3 linked regions of the Macaca mulatta genome follow. The protein of the gene in region 1 interacts with the protein of each later gene in a pairwise test. Links are inferred from orthologs where the notes say so. Each region holds a gene or a part of one and is shown on either strand. Other genes may lie near its edges.

Evidence for each region.
Region 2: the proteins of PSME3 (region 1) and WDR25 interact in binary tests that used the Homo sapiens proteins (3 or more experiments, as listed by UniProt). The two-hybrid records come from large-scale screens. The link is inferred for Macaca mulatta from reciprocal best matches to the Homo sapiens genes PSME3 and WDR25.
Region 3: the proteins of PSME3 (region 1) and TNFAIP8L1 interact in binary tests that used the Homo sapiens proteins (3 or more experiments, as listed by UniProt). The two-hybrid records come from large-scale screens. The link is inferred for Macaca mulatta from reciprocal best matches to the Homo sapiens genes PSME3 and TNFAIP8L1.

What each region holds. Positions count from the first base shown.
Region 1 is NC_133421.1:67,183,361-67,187,467, forward strand, and holds the start of PSME3 (proteasome activator complex subunit 3), read left to right. Parts: upstream 1-1,304; 5' UTR 1,305-1,539; coding exon 1,540-1,581; exon of another isoform or gene 1,582-2,088; coding exon of another isoform or gene 2,089-2,163; intron 2,164-2,251; coding exon 2,252-2,284; intron 2,285-2,374; exon of another isoform or gene 2,375-2,408; coding exon 2,409-2,471; intron 2,472-2,665; coding exon 2,666-2,770; intron 2,771-4,107. UniProt on the Homo sapiens protein: Subunit of the 11S REG-gamma (also called PA28-gamma) proteasome regulator, a doughnut-shaped homoheptamer which associates with the proteasome. 11S REG-gamma activates the trypsin-like catalytic subunit of the proteasome but inhibits the chymotrypsin-like and postglutamyl-preferring (PGPH) subunits.
Region 2 is NC_133412.1:173,718,029-173,722,247, reverse strand, and holds the start of WDR25 (WD repeat-containing protein 25), read right to left. Parts: upstream 2,801-4,219; 5' UTR 2,570-2,800; exon of another isoform or gene 2,255-2,569; intron 520-2,254; exon of another isoform or gene 1-519.
Region 3 is NC_133424.1:5,490,204-5,494,271, reverse strand, and holds the start of TNFAIP8L1 (tumor necrosis factor alpha-induced protein 8-like protein 1), read right to left. Parts: upstream 2,801-4,068; 5' UTR 2,693-2,800; intron 1-2,692. UniProt on the Homo sapiens protein: Acts as a negative regulator of mTOR activity.

The DNA.
Region 1 (4,107 bases):
ACCCTCCTCACCCCCAGCTCACCAGTCTTTGTCTTCAAGACAGTCTCTTTCCTTCCCTAGAGCATTTGCTGCACTTATACGTCTCAAGGCTCTTCTCACTCTTTCCATGCTAACCCCTTTATGTCCTTTAGATCGCAGCTTGTCTCTTGTTCAGAGGCCTTCCTTGGCCATTCGATCTAAAATAGATCTCTGGTATTTTCTATGTCATACACTTGTTTCCTAATATTTATCAAATTTTGCAGTTACTTTGTCAGTTTACTTTCTGGTGTTTTTCCAATATTATGCCCCATGAGACCAGCAACCTTGAATCTTGTTTGCCTTTGATTTCCCAGAGCTGTGCTGTTCAATACAGAAGCCAGCAGCCACATGTGGCTACTGAGCACTGTACTGTAAATGTGTTATTTTCTTATTGAGATGTGCAGTTAAGTGTAAAATATGCACTGGATTTTGAAGACTTGGTATGAGAAAAGAATGCATAAGATCTCGATTTTTTAATGTTGATTACATGTTGAAGGACTTGGATAAATTGGGTTAAATATATGACTAAAATTTTCACTTATTTTACTTTTTAATTGTGGCTAATAGAAGATTTCAACCTACATATGTAACTCACATATTTCTAGAATCTGAGACAGTGCCCTGGCCCATTTTATTGAATGAAATATCCAATGTCGAGAGAGAGATCGAATGAATGGGTGTATGAAGAGGTATAGTCTTAAGCTTCCATTAGGCAAATAGATACAGCACTGCCATAGAAGTTAGGAGATCTGGGTCCTGGCTCAGGATGTACTGGAAACGCCTTGGACAAGTCTTGCCCTACTCTGGGCATCAATTTGCCCATTAGGTAGTTGATCTTTGAGGTCCGGAAGCTTACGACAGTCAGTTGGCAGGGAAATGTACCAGGAAAGCTTGGTACAACCGCACTTGTGTTTTTCGCTCTAGCCTAAACACTTGAGCCTCGGCAAACGGGCAGAGGCAGCGGGAATCAGGGACTACACCCCCGAACCCAGTACCCGGGTCCCCGACTTCCCCGAGCCTACGTCACTGGGGCGCGACGGCGCTGTCCCCGGGACTGCAGCGACTGAGGTCCCTTCGGTGAAGGCGAGTTCCGGGCCAACAGAGAGGGTCGCACCGTTTCCGAGTCTTTCGGAGGCTCAGTTCTCAGCGCACCATTCCCCACAGCTCTCCTTTTTACTTCACCCCTACCCAACACTTTACCCCGGGGAGCATCCAAACCCGAGTCTCATCGCGGCTGCGCAGCGCACGTGCACAGCCTCGCAGGAGTCTCGGCGATTGGCTGTGACGCAGTTTCCGGCGTGAGCGGCGAAAGCCGGGAGGGCGAGCGAGAGAGCGACCAGGCAGCAGGCTGCCGGCGGGCGGGCGGACGGCACGGAGGGAGGGAGCAAGCGAGCAGTGAGTGAGCCAGCGAGGGCGGCCGGGTCCCGAGGTCAGCCGAGATTTCTCAGGTCCCTCCGGCCCCCTCCCTGGAGTCCACAGCGCCTCCGGTGTCCAGCGGATCGGACACGGCCCGGCCCGGCCATGGCCTCGTTGCTGAAGGTGGATCAGGAAGTGAAGCTCAAGGTAGCGGCACCGGTCCGGCCTTTTTGCCCCTCGCTTTGATCCCCCAGCAGTCTGACTGGCTTCCTACTCCCCATGTCGTCTTTGTCTCCCTGGGGATACCAGCTCTGAGCTTCCGCTCAACTCAGCCCAGCCCCCAACTCCCGGGGTCGGCTTCGCGGGAGAGGAAAATATAGGATGGCTTTCTGTACCGCGTCTGATGATGGAGAGTCCCGGGGACACCTCCGCGGACACGTGTTGGACTCAGGGCTTTAGGCCAGTGACAGCTGGAAATCCCCCAGCCCAACAACGTCCCTGGACACTGCCTCTGCCCTTGGTGGCTGGCCTGCCTGGTATCATAGGCCAGGTCTGGGTGGGGGTTGGCACGTTTGTGAGCTCACATCTTTCCTAACTACCTGTCTTTTGTCTGCTTATCAAATTCAGACAGCTTCAGACACAGGAGGGAGGGAGGGGAGAGGAGAGAGGAGACAGGCAGGTGCTGCCCTCAAAGCCCTGCTTTCTTCTCCTGAGATGGAAAAATGGATCCTCAAAAAAATAAAGTATTTGCAGTCTGGGGGCCTCTCAGCTTCTTATTACAGTTACAAGGTGAGGGAAAGACAGTTGGATTTGGGATTCTCTATCCTGCTCTTACCTCTGTCTCCAGGTACTGAATTGCTCTCTTTGTTAATTTTAGGTTGATTCTTTCAGGGAACGCATCACAAGTGAGGTGAGTGAAATAAATAGAAAAATGAGTGTTGGTTGAGAGTTTCCCAAAGAGGAGATATCTGTAGAGAGAGAGAGAGAGACCTTCCCACAGATATTAATTCAGCTATATTTTCCCTCCTCCTTAGGCAGAAGACTTGGTGGCAAATTTTTTCCCAAAGAAGTTGTTAGAACTTGATAGTTTTCTGAAGGTGAGAGACCCTTTTCTTTCCTCAAATTCCCCTATTTTTTTGGCCCTGGTATTACTGTCAACTGGAACTAATTGTGTGTTGATTCTTCTTTTTATTTTTTTAAACTGTAAAAGCGCTTTCATTTCTTGCTCTTCAATCAAATACTTCTTTGTTCAGCTTGAAAAGATTAATGTTTTGGGGTGGGTGTCTTTCAGGAACCAATTTTAAACATCCATGACCTAACTCAGATCCACTCTGACATGAATCTCCCAGTCCCTGACCCCATTCTTCTCACCAATAGCCATGATGGACTGGATGGTGTAAGTGTCCTATATTTATCTTTGTGTTCTTGAGCAGTAGGTCCTCTGTCCTCTGTTTCCTTGTCAGTTTAAGATGTACAGAGGCAACAGTGGGATTTGGATCTGGGAACTAGGACTGTTACAGACATGATGACTCTAGTATAGTTGTTTTATTTCTTATTTATTTATTTATTTTTGAGAAAGGGCGTCACTTTTTTTTGCCCAAGCTGGAGTGTAGTGGCGTGAGCACTGCTCACTGCAGCCTGGACCTCCCAAACTTAAGTGACCCTCCCTCCTCAGCCCGCCAAGTAGCTGATACTACAGGAGTGTGCCACCATGCCCAGCTGATTTTTGTATTTTTTGTAGAGACAGGGTTTCACCATGTTGCCGAGGCTGGTCTCAAACCACTGAGCTCAAGTAATCCACCCGCCTCAGCCTCCCAAAATGCTGGGATTACAGGCGTGAGTCACTGCACGAGGCCTCCGGTATATTCCTTTTAGACCCTGAGTTTCATTTACGATGTGAAGTGAATGTGCTAATGCTACTCTCAGTGTTAGAGTGAGTTTCAAATAAAAGAGAACTAGCTTTGGCCAGGCGCGGTGGCTCACACCTGTAATCCCAGCACTTTGGGAGACTCAGGTGGTTGGATCACGAGGTCAGGAGATGGAGACCATCCTTGCTAACATGGTGAAACCCCATCTCTACTAAAAATACAAAAAATTAGCTGGGCGTGGTTGTGGGCGCCTGTAGTCCCAGCTACTCGGGAGGCTGAGGCAGGAGAGTGGCATGAACCCAGGAGGCGGAGCTTATAGTGAGCCGAGATAATGACACTGCACTCCAGCCTGGGCAACAGAGCGAGACTCTGTCTCAAAAAAAAAAAAAAAAAAGGAGAGAACTAGCTTCATCAGGTTACCTGGTTTTTCCCATGGTTCTGAACAAGACTTAACTTTGTTTCTGTGTCTTGATAAGTGTTATGGGATATGAAGTTCTTGCTGTGTAACTGCAATCGCTGTTTTGCTGTACATCTTTAACAGCTAGTCCTTATCAGTCATGTGTCCGCATGCTACTATAACACTGATGATACTGAATTGTTGTCTGTAGTACCGCCTCATTGACAGAACTTGTACGTCTGGAAGGCAAGAACTACCTTTTTTTTTTTTTTTTTTTTTTTGAGACAGTCTCACTCTGTTTCCTAGGCTGGGGTGCAGTTGCGCGATCTCAGCTTCCTGCAACCTCCCCCTCCCGGTTTCAAGTGATTCTCCCACCTCAGCCTCCATGTAGCTGAGATTACAGATGCGCGCCACCAAGCCCAGCCAATTTTTAAATTTTTAGTGGAGACAGGGTTTCACCATGTTGTC
Region 2 (4,219 bases), on another chromosome or scaffold:
AGGGACAGGACTTTAAAAATGCCTTTGGAAGGTCCATTTTGGTCATATGTGTTACAAGTTTAAACACATCATTTTCACCTCACCAACCCCACTGTAGAACTCTATCCTACACAAATACTAGCATATGTTTGCTAGATGTATAAATCCATGAAGATAAATGTATAAAGAAAGCCTGCTGCACTGCTTATTAGCAACCAGTGAGAACATATGCTCATCATCATGAACAAGGTTAGGTCTGAAAATACGGAAATCAAAAGATGTCCAGGATCCATGGTGAGAAAGGCCTGCCACGCTCCTCTGCATCCTTTCCCTGTGCTCCAGCCCTTCCCTCTTTTCTCTCTGCCTGAAACATTCTTCCCCCAGATATCCCATCTCTGTAGCAGCCAGCTGGAGGCCTAAGGTGTTGGTCCACCCAAGTGTGCAGGGAGCAATTCTGAGGGCATGATCCAAATTCACCCGTTTCACTCCCAACACAGATTCACGCTGCAGTGAATTTCTACTTGTTTAAAAAAAAAAAAAAAAATCTTTTCTGGGCAGGGCATAGTGGTTCACGCCTGTAATCGCAGCACTTTGGGAGGCCGACGTGGGCAGATCACCTGAGGTCAAGTTCAAGACCAGCCTGGCCAACATGGTGAAACCCTGTCTCTACTAAAATACAAAAATTAGCCGCGCATGGTGGCACACGCCTGTAATCCCAGCTACTCAGGAAGCAGAGGCAGGAGAATCACTTAAATCCAGGAGGCATGTTGAGCCTCCTCACTCCCTCGTTGCAGTGAGCCGAGATCGGGCCATTGCACCTCAGCCTAGGCGACAAGAGTGAAACTTAGTCTCAAAAAAAAATTCTTTCTGAAATTCTGAACCTTCATGCACAATACATTGTTATCAATTAGTTCCCAGAAAGAAGTGCTTTGGTCTGGATCAATGTTTTACTTCTATGCTGTTAGCACCAAGTACAATCCAGAGAAAAAGAAGGGTGCTGGGCACACCCAGGACAGCAGAGGGCGCGGTGGAACAGCACAGAATGCTCAGGCAATAGACTAACTTCCAAGAAAATCCAGTGCACCCAAACTTAATCAAACAGGCCAAGGTCCGCCTCCATCTCCCAACAGGTGGAGTCAGATCATATTAAACAGATTCCCTCCAAGTCCTTTGCTAAGTCATTCCAGACAGCCTATTACCCATCTCTTCTGCTAGACAATGGGTTTCAATGTCCCCTGGAATCAACCACCCAACCCCTTCCACACCTTTCCCCCAAATGGCACCATTCGCCTGAGGGTTCCACTGGTCTACAAGTCAGGTCATCATTCCATAAATGTCTGTAGTCAGTCTCCTCTAGTAATGCCGCCCCTGTTCACAGCCCATTCTAGGCAGGTAACAACTTCCACACACAAAGCCAGAGTTCAAATAAAATGGGTGGGCACAGTGGCTCACGCCTGTAATCTTAGCACTTTGGGAGGCCGAGGCGGGCAGATTACCTGAGGTCAGGAGTTCAAGACCTGCCTGGCTAACATGGTGAAACCCCACCTCTACTAAAAATTTTTTAAAAATAAAAATAAAAATAAAAAATAAATTAGCTGGGTACAGTGGCGCATGCCTCTAATCCCAGCTACTCTGGAGGCTGAGGCCGCGGAATTGCTTGAGCCCGGGAGGCAGAGATTGTGGTGAGTGGAGATCACGCCACTGCACTCCAGCCTGGGCTACAGAGCAAGACTTCGTCTCAAAAAAAAAAAAACAAAAACAAAAACAAAACTTCTAAAGCCAGCCAGCCAGCTCATCTCAGATGGAACTAATATAAAAGACTAATTATAAACTAATGGGACCGTGCACTGCAAATAATTTGGCATTTCTGTTCTCCAAATGCTAAACCTGGTCCCCAGGCCACTCTCAACTCCTCTGCCCAGGCACCACCCACCACGCACCCGACTCCTTGCTGTCAAAAGGATCCCACAGATTCCCACCACCAGAGTGCCCGTGCTCCCTCTGGAAGGTGGTGAGGGATTAAACTAAGAGGAACTGAGACAGATGGAAGGGAAGGCAGGGACACTGGAGAAGAGTCTAAGGAAGAAGCGAGTGACTCTGACAATCACTATCAGCATGTCAGCCCCATGAGGACAGGGCTTTCTGTGTTTTGTTCACTATTCAATGCCCAGCGTCCAAAAATATTTCTGGAATGCAAACAGGTGGGAGGGGGAGATGCTGAGGAAGTAAAAGAAATAGGATATTGCCATTCAACAAACATTTCCTGATTACCTACTCTTTGTCAAGCCCTATGCTGGGTCTTGTGTGGGTGGAAATTAAACACAAAACACAGATCCCCCGGAGGCCCCAGACTGATGAAGGCAACAAACAAGATACGACCAGAGATGGAGTTTGAAAGATGAATAGGAGTTAGCCGAGCTGTCAATAGTAAGAAGTAAGGTTGGTCCAAGGCACAGCGCTTTCTGAAGGAACAGGAAGTGATAGGAAGGCGAGCGGCTATGAGAGACCGCGTTAAGAGGCGCGGGGCGCTTATGGACGCTGCCCAGTCCCGGCCCCCTCCAGCCCGGGGCCCGCCGCTCACCACACGCACCGGAAGCGCTCGGTTCTCCCGGAGGCAGACCGGCCAGCACACCACTGTCCAGTCACGTTGCGACGAGGCCCCGGGGCCGCCAGCCAATCAGTGGAGCCCTCTGCCCCGCCCCCGCGTGAACAACCAATGATGGCGCCGTCGGGCCGGAAGTTGTTCCGTCCGGATGGCGTTTCCACGGACGCCCCGGAGACAACCCGTGGCTGAGCCGGGAGTGCTGACAGGCCCGGGTGGGCCGGGTAAGCGAGGGGAGTGAGGCCGGGGCGGAGTGAGGGAACAAGGGAGGGAGTAATGGAGGGACGCCCGCGCGGCGCCCAGCGGCCTGGCCCTCCAGGCAGTATCCTGAGAGCCCGGCTTGCTGCTCGCCGCGTTCTGGCACCGTGAAGGGCGCGGATCCTGCCACCGACCCCTTGCTCCTTTCCTGTGAGCGCCGCCGACCCACCCCGTCCCCCTTTCCCACCGGCATCAACCCTTCATCATCTCCACCTCTTCTCTTTTCCCGAGAAGAGAGGCCCCCATTTTTATTTAGCGCTTGCCATGTGCCAGAGACTTTGCCTAGTGTTGCACTTAGTCCGCTCAATGGTAATGTTAGCAGGCTTCTCCATGCCCATTTCACAGATGAGGAAACCCAAGGGAAGCAGAAAAGTAATGTGACCCTTGCCCAAGGTTTCGAATAAGTCCAAGCTGGGATTGAAACCCAGGCGTCTGTGACCTCAGAACTCCCGATCTTTCCACTACACTGCGCCGCCTCGGTGAACAAATGCGGGGAATTTACGGTTTCTCTTTCTAACGCCCACGACTCCACAAAATCAGTCACACTGACACTGAGGGTGGGGAACGGGAAGAGGGTGGAGAGGTTATTTGGAGGCCAGCGGGGGGTGAGGGGTGGCTGATGCAATGCCCAGCTAATGGCTCGATTCTCAGGAGGGTTTCATTGGTCTCAACCTGGTCCCAGGCAGCCCACCTCTGATTGGACAGTCTCATCAAGAAGGTTGGTCAAGAGCTCAAGTGTTTCTGAGAATCAGGGCGATTTATAAGAAAAGCTTAGCTGAATGCAGGGTGGGGACTGGTAAACAAAAGGAAAAGCCTCTTTTTTCAGAAGGGAAACTGAAAGAAAGAGGGGAAGAGTATTAAAGACCATTTCTGGCTGGGCTGGGCATTCTCAGCTGCTCAACTGCCCAGCGTGACCAGTGGCCACCTCTGCAGAGTCTTCCACAACGTGGGTATGTATTGCCATCTTTGCCAGGCTTAGAGCTTGTTAGTGTTTTTACCAAAGTGCTGAAAACCTTGGTTTAGGGGGTCAGGACTTGTGTCTTTAGGATTAGGGTGTTATGCATTTTACTTCTTCCATTGACCGAAAGTTCAGGTAATTCACTGCTCCCATAGGGAATAGAGATCCTGGCTGAGCAGTCGCGTGCTTGGATTTGTAGCTTGCCTCCCAGCACTCTCATGCTGTCTGTCATAGTTTTCACTGATGCAGCCCCCTTCTGTGCTCAACATCAGAACGTATTGTCATTCTTGTTGTGACACCCCAAAGTGTCTAGTGCCTGGCTTCATATAAATTAATGGCTTTGCCTTTTAAGATAATGTTCATTTGTTATTTGGAGGGGAAAGCGATCTTTCTTTTAGTGTTTAAAAAAAAAAAAAAAGTGG
Region 3 (4,068 bases), on another chromosome or scaffold:
AGGGTTTTGCCCTGTTGGCCAGGCTGGTCTCGAATTCCTCACCTCAGGTGATCCGCCCGCCTCGGCCTCCCAACGTGCTGGGATTACAGGCGTGAGCCACGGCGCCCAGCCAATTCTCTTCTTTTTCTTTAAGACAGGGTCTCACTCCTGTCACCCAGGCTGGAGCGCAGTGGTGTGATCTCGGCTCACTGCAGCCTCAACCTCCCTGGGCTCAGGTGATCCTCCCACCTCAGCCTCCAGAGTGGCTGGGACTACAGGCCCGCGCCACCACACCTGGCTAATTTTTTCTTTTTCTTTGTTTTCAGTAGAGACAGGGTTTCACCATGTTGCCCAGGCTGGGAAATTCTCTAGATGGACCTGCAAGGTTTTGGTTATGGGGAAACTGAGTCAGAGAGGGTCACGAGCTTATAAAGCAGTGATGTGGCAGAATCAGAATTTGAACCCAGCCTTTAACCTAGCGCAATCCTTTCCCCATCCTAGTCCACAGCACATTTGGGGTTCAAGTCTCCTCTCTCCCAGAGCTCACCCCAGAGGGGAAGGATGGAAGCCTTAGGAAGCTTCTAGAAGCACTGTGTCCTGTAATCCCCTCCTCGGGCCTTTGACAATGTCTTGCTGAATCTCCCCCACACCTCAAAGCACCCTCCCTCCCCCCAGTTATCTCAGCCCCTTTCCACAAGAAAAAGGAGATGACCAGCCCCATTGGACAGATGGGGAAACTGAGGCCTAGAAGCTGGGAATTTACAAGATCCCAGGAACTCTGCCAGAGGTCCCTGCGTCAAAGCTCGGGTGGGTGTGATTCCAGGGAAGTTGTCTGCTGAGGGGTGTCGGGGGATGCTGGGAAGGGGCAGGCAGGCTGTGGAACCAGGCGGTTCCTCCCTCTCGATCTGCCTCCTCGCGCCCCTCCCCGTCTGTAACACCTGAGGCTGTACCTGGGCAAGTGTGAGTCATTTTTTAGCGCTGACGTCTCTCTGGGAGAAGTGTTTCCCCGTCAATGGCTGGAGTTTTGTCCTCAAGGCACACTTTCGTGGCCCCATTGGACAGACAGGGACACTGAGTCCTCTGGAACCCACCATACTGAATTGTCAGGCAATCAAAGGACCCCTCGCCCACCTGGGCTGACCCCTGGAGGAACGGGGACGAGGAAACTGAGGTTCTGGGGGCACCTGACAGTTGGCCCAAGGCCACACAGAGGGAGGGGCACACGGCGGGGCCTCAGACCTACACCTGTCTGCAGAGCCGCTTCCTTTAGGGACCCCCTGGTACCCCACGATTAGAGCAGGATTCAAGTCCCCTCCAGCCCATAGTCCCCCCAGGGGTCTAAGCACTCACCCGCCACCTGTGTCCCAGGCTGCTCCAGCCTCTGGCCAGTTCCCAATTCACCCAGGTGTTTGTGTGGCTGGAGACAGCCCTTTGTTCACTGTTTCCATAGGTACAGCGTCCCTGAACGGCCCCTCCTCTGCCCCTCCCAGCCCTTGCCTATGCAGGTCCTGGGCCGGCCCATACAGGGAGCTTGTTATGTTTCAAAGTTGGCGCCCTCGGACCTGCCGTGGTGGCAGAGGGCATAGCCCATGCAAAGGCCCTGAGGCAGGACCTCGCCTGGGGTGCTGGAGGAACAGGAGGAGGCCAGTGCGACTGGGGCAGAGCCACAGCGAGGGTCAGGGGGGTTACAAGCAGGGCCTGTATTCCTGCACCTGATCCCCCAGCAGTCGTAATTCGGTGAGTTACGACCCACTCCTGTTTTACAGAGGAGGAAACAGGCTCAGCAGAATTGAAAAACTGGTTCAAGGTACCATGCGGGTGGCAGAGTTCAAATCTAGATTTGCCCAAGCTCCGCCACGACTGGGCTGACCCCGCTGGGACCTCCCGAGGCGTTCACCGCCCCCAGCTGAGCTGGGACTGGCTCAGGAAAGAACCTCTGGTAGCCTGTTTACACCTAGAGCTGCTCCTCCCCCAGCCCTTCCCCCCACCATAGAGAAGGTGCTGGAAAATGTGAGGATGCAGAGAAAACAGATTCTGTCCTTCCTGTGTCCCCACCTCCCTGGCCAAACATTGGAAGCATTGGCCTCTTTCTAGGCCTTAGTTTACCATCCCAGGAAATGGACCTAGTTCGACTTCACAGAAAAGGCCAGGAGGCGACAGACGTCCTTCAGATCACCTGCCAATTACCTTGGCAGCGACGGTCCCAGTTCACAGCTGGCAAAACTGAGGCCACGGCCCCACAGGCCACTTGGGAGTTCGTTAGGGGCCAGTCCGGGTGGGCCTGGGCGGGCCTAGGCCTGGCTCCCCGCCACCGATGCCTGGTTTAGCCAGAAGCTACAGTCAAAGCTACAGTCATGCCCACCTCCGCATGGCTGGCCCAGCTGCCCACCTCCTGGAATGCCCTCGGGGTTCTGGAATCTGTCCTGAGCACCTGTGGCCCTGCAGTTAAAGGGGGCAGAGTCCACTAGATTCCACGGAGGGGTGGGGGTGCTGGTCCCAAGCAGAGCCCCACGCCAAGGGGGGCAATTGAGACTCAACCTGTCTCTCCCTAACCTATACAGCAAGAGGGACAGAGAGACAGAGGGAAACTGAGGCAGGAATGCAGACGGACAGGCGGCGGGGTGCAGAAGCATTACCGGGCGGGAGAGACAGGGCGGCCAGGTGGTCCCCGGGATGAGCTGAAATAGGGGGCGCCCCGGCACTTCTCTCTCACCTGCTCTCGGAGCAGAGTCCGTGCGTCCAACCGTCGGGGGTCAGTCCAGCCGCCTCCGTGGGCTGGGGCCGTTGCCGCGGCAGTGGGAGCAGCGCCGGAGCGGGGCCGGGGCCGGGGCGGGGCGGCAGCGCGGCCCCGCCCTCCACTTGCCTCGCCCCTCGGCAGGACACGCCCTCCACTCGCCCCGCCCGCAGGAAGGGACCGGAGAGTTGCCAGGCATGGAGGGCGGGCCGAGTGCTTCGGATTAGCCAATGACAGGGGGGCAATGTACGAAGAGGCCAATGGGAGCAGGGCACTGCGACGGGAGGAGGTGGGGGAAGGGGCGGAGCCTGGGGCGGGGTCAGGCGGGTCTGGGGGATTCCTCCGGAATCGCGAAGGGGCCCGGATGCGGGGGCGAGGCCGTAGACGGGGCGCCGGCCACAGAAAAGGGAAAAGATAAGAGTATGAGATAGACGGAGAACCTGGGGAGGGAGGCACAGAGGCACCAACAGGAAGAGACCGGAGAGCCAAAAGGCAAAACAGAGCAACCACGTGGTTCTGCACGGGCCCCTTCCTCCTTCTGGGGCTCAGTTTACCCACCTGGGTAATAGGAATTTCGGCAGAAACATGTTTCTCAAAGTTCGGCCTCGGGGAACCTTTCGCGTCAGAAAGATCTGAGAGGCAATGTAAAAATGCATTGGGCGCGGTGGCTCACGCCTGTAATCCCAGCACTTCGGTAGGCCGAGGCGGGCAGATCACGAGGTCAGCAGATCGAGACCATCCCGGCTAACACGGTGAAAGCCCGTCTCTACTAAAAATACAATAAATTGGCCGGGCGCGGTGGCTCAAGCCTGTAATCCCAGCACTTTGGGAGGCCGAGACGGGCGGATCACTAGGTCAGGAGATCGAGACCATCCTGGTGAACACGGTGAAACCCCGTCTCTACTAAAAAATACAAAAAACTAGCCGGGCGAGGCGGCGGGCGCCTGTAGTCCCAGCTACTCGGGAGGCTGAGGCAGGAGAATGGCGTAAACCCGGGGGGCGGAGCTTGCAGTGAGCTGAGATCCGGCCACTGCACTCCAGCCCGGGCGACAGAGCCAGACTCCGTCTCAAAAAAAAATAAATAAATAAAATAAAAATAAATTAGCTGGGCGTGGTGGCGGCGCCTGTAGTCCCAGCTACTCAGGAGGCTGAGGCAGAAGAATGGCGTGAACCCGGGAGGCGGAGCTTACAGTGAGCCGAGATCGCGCCACTGCACTCCAGCCTGGGCGACAGAGCGAGACCGTCTCAAAAAAAAAAAAAAAAAAATGCAGGTTCCAACTAGGCGTGGTGCCTCACACCTGGAATCCCAGCACTTTGGGAGGCCAACGCAGGAGGATCCCTTCAGCCCAGGAGTT